Linked DNA regions of Callithrix jacchus. The protein of the gene in region 1 interacts with the protein of each later gene in a pairwise test. Links are inferred from orthologs where the notes say so. Each region holds a gene or a part of one and is shown in the gene's direction. Other genes may lie near its edges.

Region 1 (3,500 bases):
GGCTAGTAAATGTTCTGCCTTGGATTTGAACTTGGGTCTGTCCAGCTCAGAAGCCCCGGCCCCAATGCCCGAGCAGGTGACTCCCGAGGCCCTGGGTGGCCAAGGGGTGTGGTATTGCAGCACTGGGTAAGGAGTGGCTGGAATGCTACTTGTTCTGACCTGGGGCCTGGTGAAGCTTGAGACTCTACCATTCACTGCATGGAGCTCTAGTGCACCTGCTCTGAGCCAGGGGCTGTTCCAGCCCGAGGCTACAGTCAAGGCTACGGTCACAGCCCCACAGACTGCTTCCCCGTGCTCATTTTGGTGTGAGAATAGACAATGATGATTAATTGTCAGGAACCCCAACCCTGCCCACTTCCAGAGCTGAGACAGGCTCCTGGGTATGTGACAGTCATGTATGTTGAGGGGCTTCCCAGAGAAGGCAAATTTAGAGCTGAGACCTGGACTGTGAGCTGGAATGGATAGGCGAAGCGGGAGGGCGGGTGGACCATGCTGGTGGTGGGGGGCGTTTCCTCTTCATTCCAGGAACACAACGAAGGCTGGAAGTAGATGGTGGCATTACTAGCTCATGCCACCAGACACCCCTGTGGCTGCCCCACTATCTGGGCCCTCAGATACTCTGCCAGTCATCAGCTGCTGCCTAGGCCTCTATGCCCATCTGATTCCCAAGCCCTGTCCTGCCATTCAGGACAAGACTTTTTGCTCTTTCAGGCCCAAGCCCCTCATTGTCTAAGAAACTGAAGTCCAGGGAGAAAAAGACAGTGTCTGTCCTGGTGTCTCACCCTGACTGGGTGCAGTGCCTGAGCCCCACAACTGACTTTTCCACCCCATCCCCAAGGCAGAGTGCCACCCCTGTCACCTGGTCTGTTCAGGAAGAAAATGTACTAAGTGAATTCATACTATAGTGTGAGTGACTGATAACAGCTTTTTGGGCCTCCTTCCCCTAGGGGACTATGCTTAAAAGTTGGGGGACTCCTAGGCTAACGAGTCTGCCTGGGACAGACCAGTGGACCAGAGTGGAGACTGGTCTTGACACGGCCTGGGCCCATCTCTCCATCTATCCCCAACCAACCCAGGGAACATCCGAGTGATTGCTCGTGTCCGGCCAGTCACCAAAGAGGACGGGGAAGGACCCGAGGCCACCAATGCTGTGACTTTTGATGCCGATGATGACTCCATTATCCACCTGCTGCACAAGGGCAAGCCTGTGTCCTTCGAGCTGGACAAGGTCTTCTCCCCACAGGCCTCACAGCAGGACGTGAGTGTAGCCCCGTGAGGGACGGGAAAGCAGTGGAGGGAGGGAAAGATGGACTCACATGGAGGGAGAGGGGCTGGGCAGGAAGAAGTGCAAGAGTAGGGGGTGCAGGAATACAAAGTGGGAAGCCAGGTTCTGGCTCCTTCCTCTGGAGGACAGAAGAGGGTGGGAAGTTAAGACCAAAGGTCTTGGAAGCCTGCTTAGGAAGGAGAGCTCCAGACACAGCCCAACTCTTCCCATGGCTGTGGTTCCTCCTATCCCTATGGCCCCTTCCACTGTGTGGCCCCACCCTCTGTGTGGCCCCACCTACCCTCAAGGCCCTTCCCACTATCATAAGCCATCCCATTCTCTCTGCTGTGGCTCCTCCTACCATGTGGCCCCTCCTATATCCACACCCCCTTCTACCACATGGCTCCACCCACAGTCCCTCCCACCACCATGGCTGTGTTTCCTCCTATCCACATGGCCCCTTCTACTGTGTGGCCCTACGTACTCTCAAGGCCCCTCCTACCATCACAGCCCATCCCACCCTCATGGCTGTGGCTCCTCCCATCTGCATGGCCTGTCTCACCCCTCCTACCATGTGCCACTCCCACCCTCCCACCATATGGCCTCACCCACCTTCAGGCCCCTCCCAGCATCACAGCCCCTCTCCCTCATGCCTGTGACTGCCCACCCACATGGCCCCACCCATCTTCATGACCCTGCCCATCTCCATGCAGGAGTACCCTCCTGTATCAGTCCCCTGCGCCTTCCTAGGGATCCCCCTAACCCCCCAGGCTGCATAAGAATCATGTGTTCTCAGCGTCCACTCTTCCCTTATCTGCCCAGGCCAACCTGCCATGCCTGTGCCCTCCTGTGCTCATGTCTGGTTCTACCTTTGCTCCGATTCTCTGGTGGCTGGCAGGCAGGCCCAGGCCAGAGAGGCACCAGGCATGTGCTGGCCTCTGCCTTCCTTGTGCTGAGCGCTCTTTGAGAGAGGGAACAGGAGGAGCTGGCCTGTCTTCTTCCCTGTTATCTTTGGGCAGCCCAGTTGCCCACTGATGTCTAATGTATGACTCATGAGTCATGAATCATTGAACTGAGTGACTGCAGTAACACATGCTGTGGTATTGCTGAAGGATAACATTGTTGGGGAGGTGGCTGGACTTGCAGCTGGTGGGGGGCCCTGGTCCCCCTGGCCCTGGAAGTCCCCCAGCCTCCTTCCCACCACCCTCCCAGGTGTTCCAGGAAGTGCAGGCCCTGATCACCTCTTGCATCGACGGTTTCAACGTCTGCATCTTCGCATATGGCCAGACAGGGGCCGGCAAAACGTACACAATGGAGGTAGGTGCCTGCCCGACGGGATGGGGTTCACAGTGAAGTGTGAAGGGAATGCAGCCTCCCTCACTGGTCTTGGGGTTTTATACAATGTGTGTTTTGCCTCATTTGGTCCTCACAACCCAGAAGCAGAGGCTGTCATTATCCATGTTAGCCCCGAGGCACCAGGCCTGAAGATGGGGGGCCCCCTTGCCCAAGGCACCTGTGATGCACCCAGCAGGACTGGGGGAGAGGCAAGGGGGGACTTTCATCACAGGGATCTCGGCCTGGGGACAGAGACCAGGGCAGGGTACCTGCCTCTCACGACTGGGCTACATTTTACGTGTGCACTGCATGCTCCTGCTTTACAGCTGGCTCGGGCCGGGCCTGGGGACTCTGAGATGAGGGGTGGGTCTCAGTCCTCAAGGAGATCCCAGGGCAAGACTGGCAATGTGAAGGCTGTTGTGGGGAGCCCAGCTCTTGCTGGCGGCCCCTGGGGCCAGGCCACACCTTCCTCTCCCTGCTGGTCGCCTGCACCCTCCGAGGTGTAGTGGAGCAGGTGGCCGGCCAGGGAGGGGGGTGTTGAGACTAGGAAGGTGCTTGACTGTGGTTAGAGGGCAGTGTAAAGCTAGCCCTGGCTCTTGAGGGGTGCAGTGGGATTCCCCAGGTGGGGAGGAGGCCAGGTGCCCGGCCTCTAGACAGGGGTAAGGGCTGGGTGGGCCTGCTGGGTGGGGGCCTGCCATGGCGGCCCTCCATTTCCCATCTGGACTCTGCTGTTCCCTTGATTCTGGGACTGGTGAGACTCATTAGTGGGGGTAGGCCAGGCCAGGCGGGAGGAGGAAGGGGGTGTGTGCAGCGCCCCCTGGGCTCCCAGGTCTGTTTTGGAGTTGCTTAGTGTTGAGGTGACCCCTGGGAACATCAGAGCTTCTGTCCTCAAGCATATCTG
Region 2 (4,026 bases), on another chromosome or scaffold:
TCCTCTAAATTGTTTTAGTGGTCAGACATTGACTTGTCAAAGGTTGTGCTTAAGCATGTTCAGCCAAGAGGACTTCCATCCTTTGCTGATGGATCAGCGTTCGCATTGAGAAACACATTGAAAAAGTTCGGGTAGTTTATGAAGCTGCCCTGTCTTTTACTTTCTTCACATATAAGACATTACATTCAGGCAAATCTGAGTAGATAACTAGGATTCTCTCCACCACCTTATGCTGATGTTTACAGCCTTCCCAACCCCAGGATATGTGCACGTTTATCACGGCCCACTGTGTCTGGTGCTTTCTTCAGATCTCGCTATAAAATTTCTGACTGTAGGCAGGTCCACTGCTTATCTCCAGTATTGTAATCTCAGGCAAGCTGTGATAGTGCCCTTCTCTGACTGTTGGCCACCTAGGATTGCTATTGTTTTTGACAACAGCTCAGGACATGGGCCTTTCCAAGCTCAGCTCAAAATTGTTTCTTCTCTGTCTGTTAGGAAAGCTGGTATCCCTTACAATTTGCTATGTCCTGGTAGAAATAGAGCAATGAAGAGAATGGGGCTGGTGAATAAGGTAGAAACTAAAGGATGCAATGCCACAGACTCTTACTGTTCTTCTGAAGCTTAATAGATTTTCTCGAATAAATATTTCACCATTTTTTTCTATGCCTTTCATCAATTTTTAGATCTGAAATGGTTGTTTGGGACAGTTATGCAGCTTTATCTTTGCTTTGTGAGAAAATGTGCTGAATTCTCCATGTGGCCATTCAAGAAGGCTCTCCTTCAACATTTTTAATGTGAAATTTGTATGACATAAAATTAGGCATTTTAAAGTGTACAATTCAGAGGCATAGTCATTCACAAGGTTGTACAATCACCACTTCTGTGTGGTTCCAAAACAGTTTAATTACCCCAAAAGAATATCCCATACTTATTAAGCAGTCACTCTTATTTTCTCTTACCATTAGACAGACCCTGGCAACACAAATCTTCTTTTTGCCCTGTGAATATACCTGTTCTTTATATTTCATATAAATAGAATAATACAGAACAGGTAAATTCATAGGACATGCTTACATCACATGCTTCTTTCACTTAGCTTATTGCTTTGGAAGCACATACACGTTGTAACATGTATTAGTAATTCACTTCTTTTCATGGTGAAGTAATAATCCATTGTGCATGTAGGACAGGTTTTATTCATCCACACACTTGCTGATGGATATTGGGGTTATTTTCATCTTCTGTCTCTTATGAATAGTGCTACTATGAAGACTTACATACAGGTATTTTTATTTTTGAGTGCCTATTTTTAGCAGAATTGCTGAGTAATTCTATGTTTAACTTTCTGAGGACCCACCAAACTATTTTCCACGGTACATCTATCATCTTACATTCCCACCAGCAATGTGTAAGTGTTTCAGTTTCTTCACAGGCTCACCAACGTGAATTTTTCTAATTTTTATGATTATAGTTACCCTACTAGGTATAAAACAATATCTCATTGTGGTTTTGGTTTACAGTTTCCCAATGACTAATGTTGAACATCTTTCCCATCTTCAGCTTTTAAGCTGGAATCACATAACAATACAAGGATTAGATTTCAGGTCCCTGGAATTTAAGTGTAGTAGCCTTTCCTCAGTACAACAGTATCTTCTACTACATGTTACATTATGTCATTTGATTTCCTAAATTTTCTTTGTCTTTGTTAAATATACCCACACAGCTGATAATGCAGTTCTATCCTTATTAAATTAAATGAGTCATTCTAACAACCAAAATGAATTGAGAAAATAGTTTTGTCTGTGTATTTATAGACTTATATTCCATAAAGTGAACTGAGATATATCCCAAGGTAAGATGTATTAAAGGAGATTTCACGGTTGAAAACTTCACATTGGTCTTTGTTCCATTAGAGGTTTAACCTGATACTGAAAATGTCCACTTCCGTATCCAGACCTGAAAAACTTTTGTAGGTGAATAATGTGTAACTACTATGAGCCCGGTGTTAGCTTTTGCTATTATTACTATCCTTGTTAATGTGAATTCTAAAATAAAATTGGATCCCTTTTAGGACTCAAATTTTTTTTTTGTTAATTGAGAGAGTCTTGCTCTGTTACCCAGGCCAGGATGCAGTGGCGTGATGATAGTTCACTACAGCCTCCAACTCCTGGTCTCAAACAATCCTCCCACCTTAATCTTTCAAGTAGTGAGGACTACAAACCCCCACTAGTTTTTAAAAGTGTTTTGTAGACACAGTATCATATATAGCTTAGGCTGGTCTCAAAACTTCTGACCTCAGGTGATCCTTCTGATTTTGGCCTCCCATAGTACTGGGATTATAGTCATGAGTCACTGCGCTCATCCCGGTTACTATTTTAATCATTAATGTTAGGAAGGAGACATGAATGGCTGCTTCACAAATTATTTATGAAATGTTAACTTTTTAGTAGTTGGTTTGCTTACAACGTATTAAACAAAAAGCACTTTTTTTCATCAGTATTTACATTCGTAGTCTTTCTTGCTAAATGTCAAATGTATATATTTAAATATCACATCCTCTGTTTCATTTACTATGTGACTAATAAAAACTTAATAGACACGAATTATTGTCAAATTTGCCAAGAAAAGACTCTCACAAATCTTATTAGTTTTTAACATTCTGTTCATTTTGGAGCATACAATGTATCCCCAGCAGGGACTTGCTTGGAAGCACCAGGGACTTCTTGGAAGAAAATATAGTTGGCAGATCTTGGGTCAACCATAATCATCCCTTGCAAAGACTGATTCTGGACATACTGTAGGTAATAGTCATATTTTTATACTGTCAGGATTTATGTCACTCTGTGATCCAACTGTTCTAGCCATTTTGTCTATCAAATTATGGCCATCTACTGAGAGGAACACAGTTAAAAGGAATGGCCTGTGTGTAACACAGATGTGAGAAGTGACCTAACATTTGTAGGGAAGGACAAGTAATTGTATCGCAAGGGAATTATGGGGAATATGTTGAGAAGCGTGTCTGGAGGAAAAAGCGGTGATTAGGTCATCAAGGTCCCTGACTGCCACACTAAGGAATTTAGACATGATTCTGGGGATAATGGGAAGCTGTTGAAGGGTTTATGGAGGTAAGTCCATTATTTTGTGTACCATTTTTCATCTTAAAAAGCTCTCTTGCCAGCAAGAGTGAAACTTGGTCTCAAAAAAAAAAAAAAAAAATGTGAAGATGGACCAGATGAAAATAAGACAGAGACTATGTAAGAGAATAATGCAACTGTGGGGACAGATGCCATAATCTGTTGCTCAGTGTTATGGTCTTAATTTGTCAAGACCTATTTTCCTTCCCTTTTATATTTTCACTCCCTCCTTCTCTCCCATTTCTATCTCTCTCTCTCTCTCTCTTTTTTTTATACAGTCTCACTCTGTTACCCAGCCTGGAGTGCAGTGGTGCAGTCTCGGCTCACTGCAACCTCCACTTTGCAGGTTCAAGCAATTCTCATGCTTCAGCCTCCCAGGTAGCTAGGATTACAGGTGCCTGCCACCACACCTAGCTAATTTTTGTACTTTTAGTAGAAATGAGGTTCCACCATTTTGGCCAGGCTGGTCTCAAACTCCTGACCTCAGGTGATCTACCTGCCTCGCCCTCCCAAAGTGCTGGTATTACAGGCATGAGCCACAGCACCTGCCCCTTTTATTCCTCTTATTTAGAATTATATTGTGGTTAATAATGGCACTATCTCTTTATATACTTGCAAATCAAATTAATGTTCATTTAATAAGACGTTTCCGTTTGTATTTGAATATTTTCTCTTTCTAAAGTTGAGGCATTTCTGATTGTGGTTTAACACGCTGTCTTAGTCTGTTCAAGCTTTGGAACAAACTACCATAGACTAGGTAGTTTGAATAATGGAAATTTATTTCTTACAGTTCTGGAGGCTGGAACTCTGAGATCAGGTACCAGCATGATTGGGTTCTAGTGAGAGTCCTCTTAAGTGTTGCAGACTGCCAGCTTTTTGTATCCTCACACTG
Region 3 (4,200 bases), on another chromosome or scaffold:
TTAAGAAAGTCCCTTAATTTTCATGTCTCTTCAATATTCTGTGTCTCTTACTTCACTAACCTTCTTTTTCACCCTCCTGCCTTTTATTATGGGTGTCTTATTACACTTGTATGGGACTTTATCCTTTAGCATGTCCATGTAATAGACCACTATCTTTTTTTTTTTTTTTTTTTTTGAGACGGAGTTTCGCTCTTGTTACCCGGGCTGGAGTGCAATGGCGCAATCTCGGCTGACCACAACCTCTGCCTCCTGGGTTCAGGCAATTCTCCTGCCTCAGCCTCCTGAGTAGCTGGGATTACAGGCACACGCCACCACGCCCAGCTAATTTTTTGTATTTTTAGTAGAGACGGAGTTTCACCATGTTGACCAGGATGGTCTCGATCTCTTGAGCTCGTGTTCCATCTGCCTTGGCCTCCCAAACTGCTGGGATTACAGGCTTGAGCCACCGCGCCTGGCCCAGACCACTATCTTTAGGCAGAGAACCCTATATCTTCTTTAGTCCCTATTGTCTACCCTCTCTCAAGTCCCATAATTTCAGTTGCCTCTGGGACACCTTCACTGGCTTTTATCTGGAACTGTTATCTGGAACTGAACATATTGAAAACTAAGGTTCCTCCCCAAATCTGAGGGTTGCGCCAATTTCCCTGGCCAATTGTCTCGTCTATCCCCTGGTTTTACGATCATATTTTAACATTTAAATCGATTAATTTCTTAAAATTGGAACCTTGATGAATGTTACAGAAATCAATGGATACAAAGGATATGCCGCGAGATGTTAAGTTTTCCTTCCATGGGTTCCCCAGGCACTCAGTTCCCCTCCCAGGAGGTAACCACTGTTGCCAGCTCTTAAGAGTGATTTTTGATTCCTCCTTTTACCAGCTCTGTCTCAAGTCCTTCTCTGTCTGTGAGACGTGTGCTCTTTCCTTTCCAGGCCCTAGTGAACTGATAACTGGTTGAGTTTATATATTGAGTATATATATGTGTATTTTTATATACATATATACCATCTCTCCCTATGGCCTTCCGGCCTGGAGTTTTCATCACGTCGCTTCCTGGATGAAGGAACCTAGAGGGGTGAGGGGCAGGGGTTGGGGGTAATGGAGAAGAGGACCTAAAGGGGACTTAGGTAGGGGGTCCAGAGTGGCCGACTGGCGTGACGCTCTGCCGGGATAACTATTCCTCCCACCTCAGGCCCCCTTCCAGTCTTCTCATCTAAAAGCCTCTCGTTTCCAAGAGCCGAGGCAGAGACAGAGACAGAGAGATACACAGAGACAGAGACGCCAAGGCACCAGCATCCCTCTCACCCTTCTGTCCCGCCCCATCGCTCTGACGGACACTACCCTTCAGCCAATGGCGCCCACGATGTGCCCTGGAAGGGCCTATGAGCACCAGAGGAGGGCGGAAGATTCCCCGCCCCCACTTCTAGGCTTGGTTGAGCCGTGCAGGTAGGTCCGGGGCTGGGGGAGCCGCCGTTGGCACTGGTGCCCCTGGGGGTGGGGGCACGAGTGGGTAGGGGTGATGGTGAGGCAGAGGAGTCGGCCCCGACCCGGGGAGTCCGAGGGAGCGGCCCGGCTGGGAGGCCAGGGGCCGAGGGGTCCGGGGAGCGGGCGCCGCCAAGGGCCCTGGAAGCGGCGGGGCTGGGGGAGCGGGGACGCGTGTGTGGGGCACGGGGACCCCCGCCTGGCGCCCATTCGTAGGCCTGGGCCGCGGGCTGCAGGCAGAGTGGCCCGGGGGCCTGGCTGCCCGGGGGGCGGGCCGGGGCCGTGGCCGGGGGTGCGGAGCGGAGCTAGGGGCGCCAGGCCGAGTCGAGGTGGGACGGACCGACGCTGAGAGGAAGGGAAGCGCATCCCGCGGGCCGCCCCTCCTGAAGCGAGCGGGGCAACGGCCGCGGGCGCTCCTGCCCTGAGCCCACCTCGCGCTCCCCCGTCCCTAACAATGGGAATGGGGCAGAAGGAGGTGTCCCGCTGCGGGGAGGTGAGAGGTAGGTTTGGGACTGGGGTCCGCCGTGGGGGGAGGTGCGACCTCGGGCTCTCGCCTCTCGGCTCCAGCTGGCTCTGGAGGTGGGGCCCCGGTGGGGCTCTGAAGCCCGCCTGAGACTTGGGTCAAGAGTCAAACTGCCACCCCCTCCCCCCTAAAATCCGGTGAGCGGTAAGGAAAGTGATGCCAAGTCTTCGAAGCCGAAGTGACAAACGCATAGCAAGAACACATCCACTCCAGAGGGGTGTTTATTTTTTATGTTTATGTTTATTTTTATTTTTAAAAAGGGTACTTTTCGACATTTATTTTTAACGAGGTGGGTGCTGTTATTTTTGTCCCTACGCGGGCAAGCCTCCATTTTAAGCGAAGCAGTAGTAACTGGTTAAGCTGGAATTGTATTCAGGCCTAGGACTTGAACAGGGATTCTATCGGAGGTCATTTAGTCCATCCTCCTGCCTCCAGGCAAATTTACCTTCCTCCCACCCTCAAAATTAAGTTGTTGGTTTTGTTTTTAATGATCTCTGGGGAAGAAGGGTCTTATTATTTGTTTCTAGTACTTCAGTCAAGAATAGCTTTTACTTTTAATGTGGAATTGACTCTGAAACTTAAGCATAATCTTAGACAGGACGATCAGAGAGATTTTACTTTACTAAATACAATTAAATGTTGCAAGGGTCTTTTTTTTAGATGTTAGTTAGCAAATCACCTTTCAATAGTGTTTATGAAGTACACTGGAAATTACTTTATTCTCTCTAGGATTTGGGCTAATTGATAAACGATTTTACATCATCTAAAATATGTGTTACATATTTATTTCTCTTTTTATGTAAAGTATGTTTCTACACATATATACAGAGACACAAACACATTTGCCCTTTTCTAGAGGGGACTGTATTTTGTATACTTTTTTAGTATGGTGAGGCAAATAGTACTTCAAAATCCCTGCCCAGGTAGCTTAAACTATTTGCATTTTCTTGATTATTTTTTAGTCTAAATGAAAGTCCTCTCTTTCAGATACCTTCTCAAAACAAAAGATTTTCCTACCTGCTCATACTTGGTGACTTGAGGGAATTACTAAGACTTCTTGTTCATTTCTGAGTGTTGCCTTAACTATATCCTGACACTATGAATGCTATTTGGATGCCTCCTAAGGTAAGATGTATTTTTTTCATTACCAGCTTCATTTTATTCCGAATTGGGAATATAATTTTTGAATTTGCTGTTCTTCAGTGCCTTTACATGACATTTCTCTTGCCTCTTGTGTTTGCTTCCTAGGATTGATTGGCTATACTTGTCGCTTCTTGATTTTCTTTGTATTGCTACTGTTTGATAATTGGTGTGAACATTTTAATGACATTCTCAAATTAACTTCCATTATAACGAAAGGCTGTGATCTTTTTAACTTTAAATTATGGCAACCTACATAGTTGTGAAATTGTGTTCTAATCTTAGGATGGGCTGGCAATTCAGACATCTAGGTCCACTTTTCAAACAGGTACTTTAGAGTCACAGGTACTTGGGTGTGTCCCACTCTTGCAAATCAGTAGCTGATTCATGTGTTACAAAAGTTGTGTCATTAACCATTTGTTTACTCTGAAACTTCATGTGGTATATTAGAGCTTTCTAAGACCTGCTGGTTTACATGTATGACTCTTTTCAGAGTCCTCCTGCTGCACCCTATCCCTTTGTGCAACATTTCACACTTTTTCTTAACAGGTAGCACTTACGCCAAGTTTTATCTCACAGGGTAAACCTCATTTGGACAGTGTGGACAGATGACCTTTAAATGAAAAAGCTCCCATTGATGTTGTGGTTCTCTAGTCTCTTTGGCTCGTCTAATCTCTTGTACATAGATGGCCAAATAATTCTCGATTAGGACAAGCAAAGGGCAGAGCTTAAGACTTAAGTAGGTGGCTTCTTTGATTTTCTTGTGAGTAAAAATACATTTAAAAGATGAAATTAAATAAAAACAAAAAAGACGTAGGGAGGGAGGAAGGACAGAGAAGGATAAGGAGTCTTGGAAACCCTCCACCAGATTTGCCTTTCTTCAGAGTTAGGTACTAGCTTCATTAAGATGGTTGTGTGCTAATCTGCTCTGTGGACTTCTAGATTAATGCAGAGGAGAAATAAAACAATAGTGTTGTCTGTGTAACCTAAATATCTGGACTTGTGGGAAATCTTAGGTAATGTAGACTGAGTTCTCATCTTCATTTATGTTTCAGC
Region 4 (4,300 bases), on another chromosome or scaffold:
GAATGTTACCTTCTCTGAAGACACCTCCTCCTTGCTTAATGTGCCCCCATAGCTCTTAGCACCATCTAAGGTATTACATACTCTACTTATTTATTGTCCTGCTTCTACTAGAATGTAAGCTCCCTGAGGGCAGGGATTGTTCCTGTTTTGTTCCCTGCTATATCCCCACTTTCTAGAAGAGTGACTGGCATGTCCAATATCGATCTGTAAAATGAAATGATGAAATGAGGGCCCTAAGGAAATATAACATGGTAAAACTCCGTCTCCCGTCTCTACTAAATACAAAAAAATTAGCTGGGGCTAGGCACAGTGGTTCATGCCTGTAATCCCAGTACTTTGGGGTTGCCAAGTCAGGTGGATCACCTGAGGTCAGGAGTTCAAGATCAGCCTGACCGACATGGTGAAAACCCATCTCTACTAAAATTACAAAAATTAGCCAGGTGTGGTGGTGAGGGCCTGTAATCCCAGCTACTTGGGAGGCTGAGGCAGGAGAATCACTCGAACCCGGAGGTTGCAGTAAGCCGAGATTGCGCCATTGCACTCCAGCCTGGATCTTAGGCAACAAGAATGACAATCTGTCTCAAACAAAAAAAAAACGGTTGAAATCAAGAAGGGAATGATGGTCCTGGATAATAATAGGGGTGCCTCTTTCACTGCTCCTGGTAAGAATGGAGTCAGACATGTTCGTAGGTAGAAATTTAAGTATTCCCCTCCTGATCGAGTCTGATTTCTCCGGGAAATAGAAGAGAAGGAAGGACTTGAGGAGAGTAGCGATGGAGAGAGAGCTCTATTGTGAAGATGGAAGGAGTTAAGGGCACCCGCAAGGACTGATGGAATAGCTGAAGTTGAAAACCTGATTTGCCTTTGTACCCACCTACCTGGTGGGGCGGTTTTCCTCATCAACATCGGGGAAGTGGAGATAAAATTACATAAAATGAATGGGAGTGGCAAAAATTCAAATTTTGTCTCGGCTTTTTCTTCAAAGACCAAAGAGAATTCCTTCCATCGACTCAGTGCCTTCGTGTACCCATTCAGGCACTCATCACTAATTCCTGGTCTCGCGGAAGTAAAATGAGCGGAGAGTATCTTTGAGAGTTGAGAAAAAAAAGAAGAGGCTGAGGAAAGGGACCTCCCCCAGCCCGGTGAGAAGGGGAGTAGGAGACGTTTAGCCTTCCCTAAAAACTGTAAGTTGATAGGCCCCGGCTCAAGTTCCGAGCCTTCTTCCATGACCCCTCTCCTTTCCCAATAGCTTCCAGCTGCCCCGTCGTGTGACATTCCAGTCCACCTCTGTTCCTGCTCCACCCGCTCCAAACTCGCGTGCTGTTCCTCCACGTGGTTCTCTGTGTATATCGGTTGCCTGGGAGACCCCAGCCGGGCCGGGTTGTAGTGACACCATAATAGGAACAAGCCAATACCCGTGACGCGTCTCAGTGACGCGAGACGCGGGGTGTGGCTCTGCCGGCTCAGGAATGATGAGGCGGCTGTCCGCTGGGTGGCGCCGATTTCCCGCGGAGGTCCCTTCTGGGCCCCCGGCTGAGGTGGGGGAGAGACAGGCAGGAGCAGAGGCCGGGGAGTCCTCTGCGTCAGCTGCTGCTCACTGCGCCTTGCCAGCGCCAGCCGGGTCTCACCAGCAGCTCCATGCTTGTGCCCGGTTCGACTCGTCCATCCTCCAATAAGAGGCAGGTAAGTGCCACCTGTCGGGGATCCGGGAGGGAGGATTCGGGGATCAGTGCCGGTTTGGGGCTCAGAAAGTAAGGTGTCCATGACAGCCTGGGCAGAATGGGCACTAGAAATACAGGGCGAGAGTCGGCTGTGCAGGGGCGCTCCAGCTGTGGCTGCCAATTGTGTGGGGGCTGCCTGCTGAAACCCAGGGTGCCAGGAAGAGCCATCTGTGTGCTGATCAGTGTATTCTAAGGAAATGCTGCCTCGGCGGGTCCTCCTTGCTGTGCCCTGTGTATATCGGTGGTCTGTGGCCCGAGAGTGACACGGACAAACCCCCTCCCCACGTGTGCTTGCAGCTCACTCGCTGCTCTTAAAGCTCCCGGGGCTGTAGCTTGTCAGATCGTCAAAGGGGGTTGGGGGCTGGTGGGGGGCAACAATTAAGCGGAAGGCAAGATTTTCCACCAATCCCAAACCAGAAAGAGGCAGCTTTGAAATTCTCACCAATCCCAAACCAGAAGCAGGCACGCGGTGCACCGAAGAGAGCAACTTCTTAACAGTCAAGGAAAGCCCTAGCCAACCCATTCTAGCCCTTCCCTGAAGAGTGAACGTCCTGACCGGGCTGCTTTTAGAATGGGACTGAGCTGGAAGTAGTGCTGCTCACCTCCCCTGGAACGAACATGGGAACATCCCCCAGATGGACCCCTGTAAAGCGGAGGAAAGGAGAGCTGATTGGGCTAAGGTCGAGGCAGGCCCCCCTCTTTTGATGCTGCAGATGCACGTCAGACTGAAGTCAGAATGAGGACTGGAATGAGGTGCATCATCAGGACCTGGGCTGAGTCAGTAGCCTGTGCTAAGACAGGGTGGAGGCACCAGCCTGGGTACTCCCAGTCCTCAGGGAGAGCCACTGAGAAACGTCCTGAGAGCAGACAAGTGCACCAAGGCCAGAGAGGCTAAGAACGCTGTTCCTTCCTCTTGTGACCCCACCCAGCCCGGCTCTGTGACCCTGGAATCCTAAGCCCTCGCACAGGTAGAGTGGAACCACCCCGGAGGGGCCAGGCATTCTCCTGGTGGCCCGGGGGAAGCTGCGCTTGCTGTATTTTTCTAGGCAAAGGGGGAAGAAGCCCAAATGGGCTTGGCCTTTCTCTGCTTGGTGGACTGGACATCTAGGAAGATGGCAAGCCTTGTTTGCCCTTCCCAGTTATGGGACATGGTCAGTTCAGAAAACCATGGAACTGTTCTCTGGCATTAGAAAGGAACACTTCCCCAGATGTAACCTTCCTTTTCTCCCTAGGAAGGTTCACCTGGTAAGGTACTATTACTAATAATACCATTAATTATAATAATAAGTGGAAGTATTCAATATCATCATCATCATTTATTGAACTCTTATGATGTGCCAGGAAATTTACAAATATTATTTTATTTAATCCTCACAATATAGACCATTATTAAATTCCTGTTTTGCAGATTCATAGCTAAGGTTTAGAGAACGTAAGTGACTTCTTCACTATTTCAGAGCCAATAAAGGAAAGAACTAGCATCCAAGCCCAGGCCTAGAAGTCCATTAGAAAAGGATATTGGACTGAAACCTGAGTACAGTCCCCTTTCTGCTTCTCACTATCTGTACATGCCCTTGAGCAAGCTGCTTGCTTTCTCTAGGTCTACTCTGTTTCAAAATTAGAGTGGGATTAGCGGTATGGCTTCTTCCTGTCTCTAATTCTGTGACTGACTGCTCCAGAAAATCCACTTTCTCTGTATTTTTGCCTCAAGTTCTACCCCCACCCCTCCACGATCTTCTCAGTCCTCTGTCTCCTCTTGAATCTCCGGATTGTTCCCCTTCAAAACACCCCCCTTCCAAGAGTCCTCACAGACCTCCTTGGCTGGCACTGGCCCGAAAGGGCAGCCCCTCCAGGGTGGGCATGCCACTGCCCCTTTAATTCTCCCAGGCTTGGAATGTAAGTGAGTTGCACTTGCCATTTCTGCGAGTCTGCGAGGTCAGATAAGATACTATATATATCGGAGTCAGTAACCTGAGCTCCGGATTACCCAGCCTGGAGTCAGGCTCCAGCTTCTGGGCTTTCCACTGCATACCCTGCCCTGCTGGGGAAGAAGAAGCCCCCAAGTCCCATCCAGTGCCCCTGGACACAGGTCAGTAGCTGCCTCTTTGGTATCTGAGCTTCTCTGGGACTCTATCGAGAGGAAAGACATCAGTGAATCTGGGAGAGCATGTGAAGGCCGCCCCACTGGGCCTGGTGGGTATCAGGGCCAAGACCAAAGGCCCCCCCCAGAGGCTGAGAACAGAGGAAAGACGAGGCCCTAGAGGAGACGGAAGGAGACTGGGGCTCTCCCCTGGGGAGGGAACACCAGAAGAGTACCTGGGCAGAGGTGGTTGGAAAAGAGAACTTAAGGATCCCAATACTTCCTGGAGGCCCATTTCTTTACCTTGTCTTGGAAGTGTAGAGATGCCCACTCACTCACAACCCCAAATCAAGGTGCACCCTATGGAGACTGCCCTGGGCCCACCCACTTCTTCACCAGTCAAGATTCTTGCCTTATTCTCTAATCTCTTTATCTTATCTCCTTCTCTCCCCCAGCTCTTGGGTAACTACTGGGAGCAGGAGAAAGAGAAATGGACCCA
Region 5 (3,500 bases), on another chromosome or scaffold:
TCCTTCTTCCTGGCCCAGCTCTCTGATCCCATATCATCCACCTTCTTCTTTTCACCAGTCCTTTCATCTCTTTTTCCCTTACTCCCCAGTCCCCCACTTTCTCCCATGCAAACTTCATGTGTTTCTCCCTGCCTTTTCCCTCCTAGGCCTGATGGCTCGAAAGCTCGCTGTTGCTCGGTTGCGCCAGGAGAGGTGAAGTTTGTGCACTTTGAGGATGGGGCTTTAGGGTGGGGTGGATGGGGCTTTAGGGCATTGGCTGCTGGGACCCCTAAAACAATGAGGACTGAGGCGGGATGGGGGCTTAGGGGTCAGGAAGCTGGGTGACTTCTCCTGACTCTTTCTCGTTCCCATCCCAGCTGTCCCCTACCCCCACCCGTCACAGACGAGAGCCTTGAGTTGCAGCAGCTTCGTGAAGAACGGAACCGCCTGGATGCAGAACTGCAGCTGAGCGCCCGCCTCATCCAGCAGGAGGTGGGCCGGGCTCGGGAGCAAGGTACACCTGGTTGCCAGGGGGTGAAGAGGATGAAGGATGACCTGGCATCCAGGGTGCCAGGAGAGGCCTGAGCCAGCACCCCCTCCTTTTAGGGGAGGCAGAGCGCCAGCAGCTGAGCAAGGTGGCCCAGCAGCTGGAGCAGGAGCTGCAGCAGACCCAGGAGTCCCTGGCTAGCTTGGGACTACAGCTGGACGTGGCACGCCAGGGCCAGCAGGAGAGCACAAAGGAGGCTGCCAATCTGCGGCAGGAGCTGACCCAGCAGCAGGAACTCTATGGGCAAGGTGTCCAGAGGGGAAAGGGGTGCTTCCCTTGGAGGGTGGAATGGGAACTGCAAATCAAAGTTCCTGCTGATACGCCCCATCTTCACCTTCACCCCAGCCCTGCAAGAGAAGGTGGCTGAAGTGGAAACTCGGCTTCGGGAGCAACTCTCGGACACAGAGAGGAGGCTGAACGAGGCTCGGAGGGAGCATGCCAAGGCCGGTGAGCTTTGCCAGGGTGGATAGGGCTTTCCAGGAAGAAGGAAGTGTTCAGACATAAGGTTATTATTTCCCCCTCAACGTTTTTTCAAAGCTTCATTACAGGAGGTAATGAAGGTATCCAGGAATGACACAGATGAATTCTCACATCATAAACACACCCATGTAGCCTGCACCAGATTAAGAAACAGCATATGAGGCCGGACGCGGTGGCTCACGCCTGTAATCCCAGCACTTTGGGAGGCCGAGGCGGGTGGATCACGAGGTCAAGAGATCAAGACCATCCTGGTCAACAAGGTGAAACCCCGTCTCTACTAAAAATACAAAAATTAGCTGGGCATGGTGGTGTGCGCCTATAGTCCCAGCTACTCGGGAGGCTGAGGCAGGAGAATTGCTTGAACCCAGGAGGCGGGGGTTGCAGTGAACCGAGATCGCGCCATTGCACTCCAGCCTGGGTAACAAGAGCGAAACTCTGTCTCAAAAAAAAAAAAAAAAAAGAAACAGCATATGATCAGCTTAGGACCCCCACTTCCATACCCCTTCCAGTCATACCTCTTTACAGAGGACACCACCTTTCAGATGTCTAACACCAGCAATTACCCTCTAGCAAAAATTTCTCACACCTGAACAAGTTAAAAGAATTGGGACCAGCACTTTGGGAGACCAAGTTGGGAGGATTGCTTGAGTTCAGGAGTTCCAGATCAGCCTGGGCAACATAGTGAGACCCCATCTCTTAAAAGAAATACAAAAATTAGCCAGGCATGGTGGTAGGCACCTGTAGTCCCAGCTTACTTGAGAGGCTGGTGCGGGAGGATCATGTGAACCTGGGAAGTTGAGGCTGCAGCCAGCCAAGATTGTGCCACTGCACTCCAGCCTGGGCAATAGAGGAAGACCCTGTGTCAAAAAAAGAATTGTGTGATGAATATTCATATATCTTCTCTAACTGTAGCGGTTAACATTTGCCACATTTGATCTCTTACCTATATATATATACATATTTATACACTTTTTTGAATCACTTAAAGTAAGTTGTAATCATTTAATGTTTTTCTTTGTTTTGTTTTGAGATGGAGTCTTGCACTGTCACTCAGGATGGAGTACAATGTAATCTTGGCTCACTGCAAACTCCTGGGTTCAATCGATTCTCCTCCCTCATCCTCCAGAGTAGCTGTGATTCCAGGCGCCCACCACCACACCTGGCTTTTTGTATTTTTAGTAGAGACGGGGTTTCACTATGTTGGTTATGTTGGTCATGAACTCCTGACCTTGTGATCCGCCTGCCTCAGCCTCCCAAAGGGCTGGGATTACAGGTGTGAGCCACTGTGCCCGGTGTAATCATTTAACGTTTTAAGTAAGCTGTAAATATAAGTCATTCAGCTGGATCTCCCAAAACCAGTGAATTATCCTATATAGCTATCATCACACTTTAAGAAATGAACACTAATTGCACAAAATCTAACCCAGTCTATATTCAGATTTCTCCTGAGGAACTCCAGGATGGATCAGGGATGAGGAAGGTACTTAGGTTCACAGATTCCCAGGCTCCTGGAGCATCAGCTCACTCCTCCAACTGTACAGAAGAGACAGATCCACAGAGCAAAACAGCCTTCCCAAGACAGAGCTGGTGACCCAGTGTTCGTTCCTGTTTTCGTGGTGCCTGGCTGCCTCTGGGCTGACTCACACCTGCCCCCTCTGTGCCCCAACCTCTCTGCAGTGGTCTCCTTGCGCCAGATCCAGCGCAAAGCTGCCCAGGAAAAGGAGCGGAGCCAGGAGCTCAGGCGTCTGCAGGAAGAGGCCCGGAAGGAGGAGGGGCAGCGACTGGCCCGGCGCCTGCAGGAGCTAGAGAGGGATAAGAACCTCATGCTGGTAGGAGACAGGATTACAGGGACTAGGGCCCATCCTGGGCTGGTTCCCGGGCTAGAGGTGTAGAAAGAGGATGGTGGGGGAGGCTCTACCCGGGCTAGGTGGCATTTAACCCTCTCCTTCCCAGGCCACCTTGCAGCAGGAGGGTCTCCTCTCCCATTACAAGCAGCAGCGACTATTGGCAGTTATTCCTTCCCTACTGGATAAGAAGAAATCTGTGGTGTCCAGCAGCAGGCCTCTAGGGTGTTCAGCATCTGTACCTGTAGCAGCAGCAGTGCCCACCAAGGAGTCTATAAAAGGTCTTGGCCCAAGCATAAAGGGACAAGGGATAAATGGGGACACTTCAGGAATCTCTACTCCAGACTCTTGCATGATGAGTGTTGTTCTCTGTGATCCTTCCAGGCTCTTAGCCTCTTAGCCATGCCCTGCTTGGACCAAATGGCCTCCTCCCTCTTAGTTTCCCTTATGTCCTGTGCCAGCCCTATTTCCTCCTCTGGTGCTCATCCCCTATCTTCTTTCCCAGGGTCCCTCTCGGTCCTACTCGATGACCTACAGGGCCTGAGTGAGGCCATTTCCAAAGAGGAAGCTATTTGTCAAGGACATGACCTCGATAGATGCTCCAGCTCCAATCCCCAGAAGAGCAGCTAAGCAGCTGAGAACTGGAGGGA
Region 6 (3,500 bases), on another chromosome or scaffold:
GTAAATATTGGATAGATGGATAGAGGAAATAAAGAAGATTGGAAAGGCCAGAAAGAAATTTGATGAGCTAATTTTCTGGATTAACTGTTACAGGTTATTGTCTCCTTACTCACCAAATCCTGGAAGACTGGCTATTCAATGTGAGACCTAATGATTGTATTGAGCTAGTCTTTCATTTGGCCTGTAGTTTATCCCTGAAACATCTGTAATTTCAGAAACAAGAGATGTATTGGTAGATGTGTAGTAGTGTATATGTACATAAGGATATGTATTTTTCAGTTCCTCATTCCCTTTACAACTAGTTCACTATAAAAGTTTCCTCTCTGGTCTTCCTACATATAACACCTTTTCTCTCTCCTCTAACCTACATATTGTTGCCAAGTAATTTTTTCTTTCCACACCATCATTTACAGGTTCAAGGATCTTCACTGGTTCTAATTTAGAAGATCTGGCACAGAACTAAAACGTGTGGAGTTTTGCAAAATTCCTCCAGATAATTCTGATGTGTAACAATGGCTAAGAATAGCTTTAGTATGGAAAATATACCTCAATTTTCTGAAGAAATGAACAGTCTAAATGGTTAAGGGTATAAAATTTAGAATTAGATGGACATGGGCTCAGTTATATTTCTGACTCTTACTGGTTGTGTGATCTTGCACAAGTTACTTAGCATTTCAATGTGTCAACTTTCTCATTTGCAAAATGAAAATAACGTCTACTACATAGGGTTATGGTAAAGAATAAATTAGATAATTTATGTAAAGTGAATGCACAGTGCATTGTATATACTAAGCACTCAACAAATGTTAGCAGTTATTTTGTTTTTAGTCATTCAATTGTTCATTCATCAATTATTCTTTCACTATGTGTTAAACGCTGTGTTGGGGCTATGGAAGATATTAAGGGGTACAAAATGTGAACCCTGCTCTTGAGACTCTTAGAATTAGTTGGGAAGATAAAACTATCATAGCACTATACAATTGGAGGATAATAAAGTGAAATATAAATATTATAGAAGATCACATAGGCTGGGTACAGTGGCTCATGCCTTTAATCCCAGCACTTTGGGAGGCTGAGGCGGATGGATCACGTGAGGTCAGGAGTTTGAGACCAGCCTGACCAGCATGGCGAAATCCCGCCTCTACTAAAAATACAAAAATTAACTGGGCTTGCTGGCGGGTGCCTGTAATCCCAGCTAGGGAGGCTGAGACATGAGAATCGCTTGAACCTGGAAGGGGGTCAGGGAGGTGGAGATTGTACTGAGCTGAGATGGCACCACTGCACTCCAGCCTGGGTGACAGAGCAAGACTCCTTCTCAAAAAAAAAAATCACATAAAGGATATATTTAGGGAAGGTGTTAACCTAGCATGCTGGCTTGCTGACTAGCATAAACAAAAAAGAAAAATATCTTTCAAACTGTTCTTACCAAGCCTTTAAAGGTCAAGTTTTGATGCTGCTTGCCAGATGGAAAATGATGCAGAGAGGAAAAAATCCTGTATTTACTTCTCAAAATTAAGACCGGATGGGGGAGTGTGTTTGAGGGGTAAACATATGTGAATAAATATGGTATAACTCTTCATTGGTTCCTGATGATTAAAATTTAAATGGTTTCCATTGGAAAGGCAGATATGATATTTTCACTTAATAAATCAAGTCTTACAAGTCATTTATTTTCACCTTGTTAAACCAGAAATCAAACACTGGGTGAAGGTTACAACCTATTTTGATGTATATTGATGTACTTTTCTCTTTTTCAGGGTCGCTATGGCAACTGCATCTTCTCAAGTTCTGATTCCAGACATCAATTTTAATGATGCCTTTGAAAACTTTGCTTTAGATTTTTCCAGAGAAAAGAAACTGCTAGAGGGGCTAGATTATTTAACAGGTGTGAAAATACTGTGCCTTCCTTCCCATTTATTGTTTTTTCTTCTGGTATGCTTTTACTTAAAAATAATTTGAAAAGGACAATATAATGAAAATGTTTTATAATTTTTAAAATGATGCATGTAAAATTTCAGACAAAACATATTTTAGTTCATGTAACCGAAAAGAAAGATGATTTATGATTTGTTAACTATTTCTAGGGTCGGAATGGGTATACCATCTATACTTAAGAGTAAAACACAAGAAATTGCTGATAGATTTGTCCTTATGAATCTAAAAGGAATGTATTGTTTCTTGTTAAGAGAGTAAACCCAAATGGTTTTAGGGAAGGTCAGGAATTAGCAGATCAGGAAGAAAAATGTAAGATATATACATATATATATATATATATACATATATATATGAAAAATGTAAGATATATACATATATATATAAATAAAATCTAAATCTAAAATATATATATAGAGAGATTTATGTCTAAAATATATATATAATAAAACTCATTCTGAAATTAAAAATAACAGTAAGTTGAAGACCATATGTTAAGAAAACCATATAATCACTTTAATGTCTACATAAGTATTTATATGGGTGACTAGACAGCTGGGGCAATCATGACAAAAATTTAGGTTTAGGTTTATAGCTTTGCCTAAAATATTTTCGTTGTTGTAGCAAAAGTGGTTTTAGGGAGCTTGAGGTCTCAGCATTTTGCTTCACGTTGCATGGTTCATGCAATCTAAAGCTTCTCTGTTAAGAAAACCACCTCTTCAAGAGATGTTGGGTTAGGCAGGAAGAGTAACAATTGTAAAATTCCAAAAGAGACTGTGCTTTCCTTACTTTCTTTTCCACCTTTCCTTACAGCCCCAAACCCACCATCTATCCGAGAAGAACTCTGTACTGCCTCCCATGACACCATTACAGTCCACTGGATCTCGGATGATGAGTTCAGCATCAGCTCCTATGAGCTTCAGTACACCATATTCACTGGCCAGGCTAACTTCATCAGTAAGTCATGGTGTAGTTGGGGCCTGTGGCCAGAGATAAGGAAATGTAAGGAAGCAGTAAGCTGCTCAAGATTGGCCGGGGCGCCACGAGGCAAGTGTTTGTAAGACATGTTAGGTTGTTTAGTATAGTGTTTCATAGACAGTGTAAGCTTCCCAGGGCATTACAAAGACCTTACAATGGGTAACAAGCAAGTTGTATATTTCCTTGCTGGGCAGTTATTGGGGCCATTCTCATTCATTTATGTAGTCCTTAGCCTTTCCTCAATTAATCCATGTCATTCCACTTTCCCAAGGAGAGTACCACTTGGTACTTGTTCCAGGGTAGCTAAGCCACCATCATTGCTGGTTCTGTGTGTGTGAACATCTCTCTCCTTGACTCTTCTGCCACTTCATTATCATGGTAAAATACATCAAAGACTTTTCCTTTACCAAACGTACCTCAGTGAATATGGCGACAAGCCTCCTGCCTCTGTCACTCTTCCCTTTACTTCTTCTTTTCCACCAAGAATTATGCTAAATATGAAAACATGTCAGTGGGCCACAAAATAAAAGAAGTTAACAAAGCTGTTGTTTAGTTCACATGTTATGGTTTCATCTTTTGATGAACTGGAG
Region 7 (3,500 bases), about 26 Mb from region 1:
GACAGTTTTTGAATTTGCCAGGCCTAGAGTCCCAGCTACCTCTGAGGCTGAAGTGGGATCCTGCCCCTGCTCTCCAGCTTGGGCAACAGGCTGAAAAGAAAGCAAAGTCCCTTTCTTCTGATCCTGGAAGCTCTTGTTGGTGACCCCAACCCCCTGAGTCTTAGGGCATCTCAGAGCTGGGCTCTAGGGTCACGATGAGGAGGAAGAAAGGTTGAAGGCAGCCATTGGGTCTGGGGTCCTCAGGGTCCTGGAAGGGAGCAGTGGGGGGGAGGGCACGCTTAAGTACAGGCTTTCCCGTCTCATATTGCAGCATCGCTGCCGTGAGGCTCTCAGACGGCTTTACCTTTGTTGTCTACGAGTTCTGGGAGACGGAGGAAGAGTGGAAGAGGTGAGTGTGGCAGGCGATGGGGAAGCCCGGGTGGGGGATGGCCGGCTGCCCGGGCCCCTCTCCTGGAGCCAAGCAGCCCAGTCCAGCACGCAGAGTCACAAGGCATCTCCCAACGCAAACGCATGTCTATTCACTCCTCTGCACGTAGGAGTCCTCGGGGGGATAGTAAAACCCCCCAGTGCACCCAGTTGGGCTCTTTAAATGCAGGTGCCCAGGGAGCCCAGCTGAGGATCTACCCCCCCACAGCTGCTGCCTTGGGGTGTTGAGAAAACTGCTGGGCTAAGGGTTGAAATCCCATTCCCGGCCCCATCCAGGTCAGGCGCCCTCCCGATTCTCCCCATTTCCTCCCTGCCCATCCCTGGGGCTGCCTTATTTAATACCATGTGGAGGGAGGGCTCGACACAGAAGGTAATCCAGGCCCCAGGTGATCTGCAGTGCCAGCGATGAACCTCCCCTCCAGCTCAGTGGGTGGGGGATGGTAGAGGAAGTCATCAGCTCTGATGGGTTTTGGGGTCCTATGTGCTGCTCAGAGAACACAGCTAGGGCCGCTTGTTCCCTCCCTGGATAGACTTGTTTCTCACATGCTGGACCTCACAGGCAGGAAGAGGGATCAGGGAGAAGCTCATGCCCCTGCTACCTGCTTCCCCGGTAAACACTCAGGGTTTGCTGACAAATTGAGGACCCCGGTGGGAGCAGGGGCATCTCCTCCCTGTCTGTACTTCAGGGACTCATAAAATGAGGGCCTGAAACCCTTCCCAGCTTTCATGTTGTCATCTGTCCTGGGTAGAGGTGGCCCCACTCCTCCTAGGGTAAAGTCAGAGTGAGGGGCGCTGTGCACTCATGAGCGGGGTACCTGCAGCACCTGCAAGGCTCACAGGGGCAAGAAAATCTCCCTACCTACCCCAGAGATACCCACATTCAGCCTCCCTTCTTACAAATGCTCTGAGTCTAAAGATTCCCCCCACGATGATGGATAAGGTCCTGCTCCTGGGCACAGCAAGCATCAACGGGCTCCACTCCCGGACCCCCTTGACTAACTTGCGTCCCTGGGTGGCAGGCACCTGCAGAGCCCCGTGTGCAAGGCGTTCCGGCATGTCAAGGTGGACACGCTAAGCCAGCCCGAGGCCCTCTCCAGGATCTCAGTGCCAGGTAGGAGACGAAGGCCTAGAACCACTGTGGCCACCTGCGTAGAGAGAACGGGAAACAGCACCAGAGGCTGCCCCTGCCGACTGCAGCCTTCCCTGCTTGCTGCTGGGAGGACCTGTGGGTCACTGCTAGGTGTGCAGAGAGCCCTGAGGGAGGACAGCGTCCAGGTCACAGACAGCTCTGAGGGGCCCCACCTGCAGCAGCTGTGGATGCCAGAGCTTCCCCTGGAGCACGTCCAGCCAGACTGAATGTGCCTTCCCGGGACTGTAGTTCACACCCGGGTGACCAGTGAGCACCCGTGCACCATGGCCAGCCCTAGCAGAGCTCTGAGTTGCCAGACGCAGGAAGGGCTTTTCTGCCTTGCAGCTACCAGGGAAGCAGATGTTTCCCCAGGGAGCTGGGGAGGGAGACATACCAGCACCTGCCCTTCCAGATGAGCACCACCAGCTAGGAGGCTGCTCAGTGCTCTACCGTCTCTCTCTCCTTCTAGCTGCCTGGTGTACAGTGGGACGGGACTGACCGCCTCCCAGAGGCCCCTTCTTCTTGTAAAGGTCATCCCCTGTTTACTAGAAACTTTGGTGCAGAAGTTGTCTTTCCAATGTATCCTCCACAAAAAGGTGTTTCCCTGCTGGGAAGGGAAGGCCTCCCCCGCCCCCCAGCTGAGCTGGCAGAGCAGCACCTATGTTGCCAGGGTCCTGCTGCAGCAAAAGGTGGTCAGTGACAGGGGCGGCTTCCTGGAGCCAGCATCCCACCTCCTGATCTCCCCCCGCCCCTCAAAGAGCCACGCATGACCCATGCTCACCATGCCCTGCCTTCGGCCTTCCTCATGTCCTCATGGTCAGGACTCAGTGCTGCCCTCTTCAGTGCCATTCTTCTACCTGGTAGGAGCCACGACCCTGTAGTACCCAACCTAGCCAGGCAGCCACCACGGGGCCCAGGCACCAAATAAACCCTGGTTGGGAAGGGCGGTGTGCTATGTCTGTTTCCTGGTTGACAGTGGTGGGGGGTAGGGCCGTGTGAAACCTTCAAGTACCCACAGCCTCAGGGACACTTTAACCAATGGGCTAATTCCTATTCTGTAGCTCCCAGGGCACCACAACCACCCTCAGGACCCAAAGCACTGGGCACAGCTGTCACAGGGTGAATGACAGCCACAAACCAGCAAAGGAAGGGGCTGCACTGAAGTCTCCCAGCTTCAACAGGGACAGAAGCTCACCAAGCAGGGATGCGTTCCCCCGTCTTACTGGGCTGTGGTGACGTAGACAGGGCTGACACCCACAGAGCTAACACCTCCTAGCTCAAGGCCCCCCCATAAATCACATGGCGTGACACTCTAAGAGCCTGTGACTCCTTCCCTGCACGCATTAGCCATTCAACAAAGCAGGAGCCCATGACTGTCAACTGGAAATAATGTCTTCAGTCTTATTCTGGAAGCTTTGTAACTTCTTCCTATTTCTCAGGCCTGGTTAGCAGGAAAAGTTAGACACGGCCAGGTACAGTGGCTCATGCCTGTAATCCCAGCACTTTGGGAGACCGAGGTGGGTAGACCACTTGACGTCAGGAGTTTGAGACCAGCCTGACCAAAACAGAGAAACCTCGTTTCTACTAAACATAAAAATTAGCCAGGTATGGTGGCAGGTGCTTGTAGTCCCAGCCATGCAGGAAGCTGAGGCAGAAAAATTGCTTGAACCTGCGAGGCGGAGGCTGCAATGACCCAAGATCACGCCACTTAACCCTAGGCAACAGAGCAAGACTGTCTCAGAAAAAAAGACACACAAAAGTTCAAAGGGCAAGTAGAGAGTGGTGGGTCTCCTCCTAAGACCAGGCAGAGCCAAGCATTGCAGGCCCGGGACACAGGTGGGAGCTGCAGGGTGCAGGACCCAGAAGGGGTACCTTTCTACCTCCTGCCCCAAGCCTGGGGGAGCACAGAGGGCTGGCCAGTGACACGGTGATTATTAACACTGTC

The links.
Region 2: the proteins of KIFC3 (region 1) and SOX5 interact in binary tests that used the Homo sapiens proteins (3 or more experiments, as listed by UniProt). The two-hybrid records come from large-scale screens. The link is inferred for Callithrix jacchus from reciprocal best matches to the Homo sapiens genes KIFC3 and SOX5.
Region 3: the proteins of KIFC3 (region 1) and KANSL1 interact in binary tests that used the Homo sapiens proteins (3 or more experiments, as listed by UniProt). The two-hybrid records come from large-scale screens. The link is inferred for Callithrix jacchus from reciprocal best matches to the Homo sapiens genes KIFC3 and KANSL1.
Region 4: the proteins of KIFC3 (region 1) and USP2 interact in binary tests that used the Homo sapiens proteins (3 or more experiments, as listed by UniProt). The two-hybrid records come from large-scale screens. The link is inferred for Callithrix jacchus from reciprocal best matches to the Homo sapiens genes KIFC3 and USP2.
Region 5: the proteins of KIFC3 (region 1) and CCHCR1 interact in binary tests that used the Homo sapiens proteins (3 or more experiments, as listed by UniProt). The link is inferred for Callithrix jacchus from reciprocal best matches to the Homo sapiens genes KIFC3 and CCHCR1.
Region 6: the proteins of KIFC3 (region 1) and MID2 interact in binary tests that used the Homo sapiens proteins (3 or more experiments, as listed by UniProt). The two-hybrid records come from large-scale screens. The link is inferred for Callithrix jacchus from reciprocal best matches to the Homo sapiens genes KIFC3 and MID2.
Region 7: the proteins of KIFC3 (region 1) and NECAB2 interact in binary tests that used the Homo sapiens proteins (3 or more experiments, as listed by UniProt). The two-hybrid records come from large-scale screens. The link is inferred for Callithrix jacchus from reciprocal best matches to the Homo sapiens genes KIFC3 and NECAB2.

The regions. Positions count from the first base shown.
Region 1 is NC_133521.1:15,650,106-15,653,605, reverse strand, and holds part of KIFC3 (kinesin-like protein KIFC3), read left to right. Parts: intron 1-1,076; coding exon 1,077-1,258; intron 1,259-2,476; coding exon 2,477-2,581; intron 2,582-3,500. UniProt on the Homo sapiens protein: Minus-end microtubule-dependent motor protein. Involved in apically targeted transport. Required for zonula adherens maintenance.
Region 2 is NC_133510.1:47,292,599-47,296,624, forward strand, and holds the start of SOX5 (transcription factor SOX-5), read left to right. Parts: upstream 1-1,226; 5' UTR 1,227-4,026.
Region 3 is NC_133506.1:86,974,678-86,978,877, reverse strand, and holds the start of KANSL1 (KAT8 regulatory NSL complex subunit 1), read left to right. Parts: upstream 1-1,400; 5' UTR 1,401-1,445; intron 1,446-2,991; 5' UTR 2,992-3,129; intron 3,130-4,200. UniProt on the Homo sapiens protein: Non-catalytic component of the NSL histone acetyltransferase complex, a multiprotein complex that mediates histone H4 acetylation at 'Lys-5'- and 'Lys-8' (H4K5ac and H4K8ac) at transcription start sites and promotes transcription initiation.
Region 4 is NC_133511.1:19,030,766-19,035,065, reverse strand, and holds the start of USP2 (ubiquitin carboxyl-terminal hydrolase 2), read left to right. Parts: upstream 1-1,500; 5' UTR 1,501-1,683; exon of another isoform or gene 1,684-1,694; intron 1,695-2,323; exon of another isoform or gene 2,324-2,434; 5' UTR 2,435-2,689; exon of another isoform or gene 2,690-4,300. UniProt on the Homo sapiens protein: Hydrolase that deubiquitinates polyubiquitinated target proteins such as MDM2, MDM4 and CCND1. Isoform 1 and isoform 4 possess both ubiquitin-specific peptidase and isopeptidase activities.
Region 5 is NC_133505.1:35,964,447-35,967,946, reverse strand, and holds part of CCHCR1 (coiled-coil alpha-helical rod protein 1), read left to right. Parts: intron 1-146; coding exon 147-192; intron 193-356; coding exon 357-493; intron 494-585; coding exon 586-774; intron 775-871; coding exon 872-973; intron 974-1,063; coding exon of another isoform or gene 1,064-1,167; exon of another isoform or gene 1,168-1,261; intron 1,262-2,683; coding exon 2,684-2,835; intron 2,836-2,959; coding exon 2,960-3,131; intron 3,132-3,355; coding exon 3,356-3,480; 3' UTR 3,481-3,500. UniProt on the Homo sapiens protein: May be a regulator of keratinocyte proliferation or differentiation.
Region 6 is NC_133524.1:104,457,732-104,461,231, forward strand, and holds part of MID2 (putative E3 ubiquitin-protein ligase MID2), read left to right. Parts: intron 1-1,757; coding exon 1,758-1,885; intron 1,886-2,745; coding exon 2,746-2,979; intron 2,980-3,500. UniProt on the Homo sapiens protein: E3 ubiquitin ligase that plays a role in microtubule stabilization. Mediates the 'Lys-48'-linked polyubiquitination of LRRK2 to drive its localization to microtubules and its proteasomal degradation in neurons.
Region 7 is NC_133521.1:41,654,596-41,658,095, forward strand, and holds part of NECAB2 (N-terminal EF-hand calcium-binding protein 2), read left to right. Parts: intron 1-310; coding exon 311-388; intron 389-1,445; coding exon 1,446-1,537; intron 1,538-2,022; exon of another isoform or gene 2,023-2,024; coding exon of another isoform or gene 2,025-2,053; exon of another isoform or gene 2,054-3,500. UniProt on the Homo sapiens protein: May act as a signaling scaffold protein that senses intracellular calcium.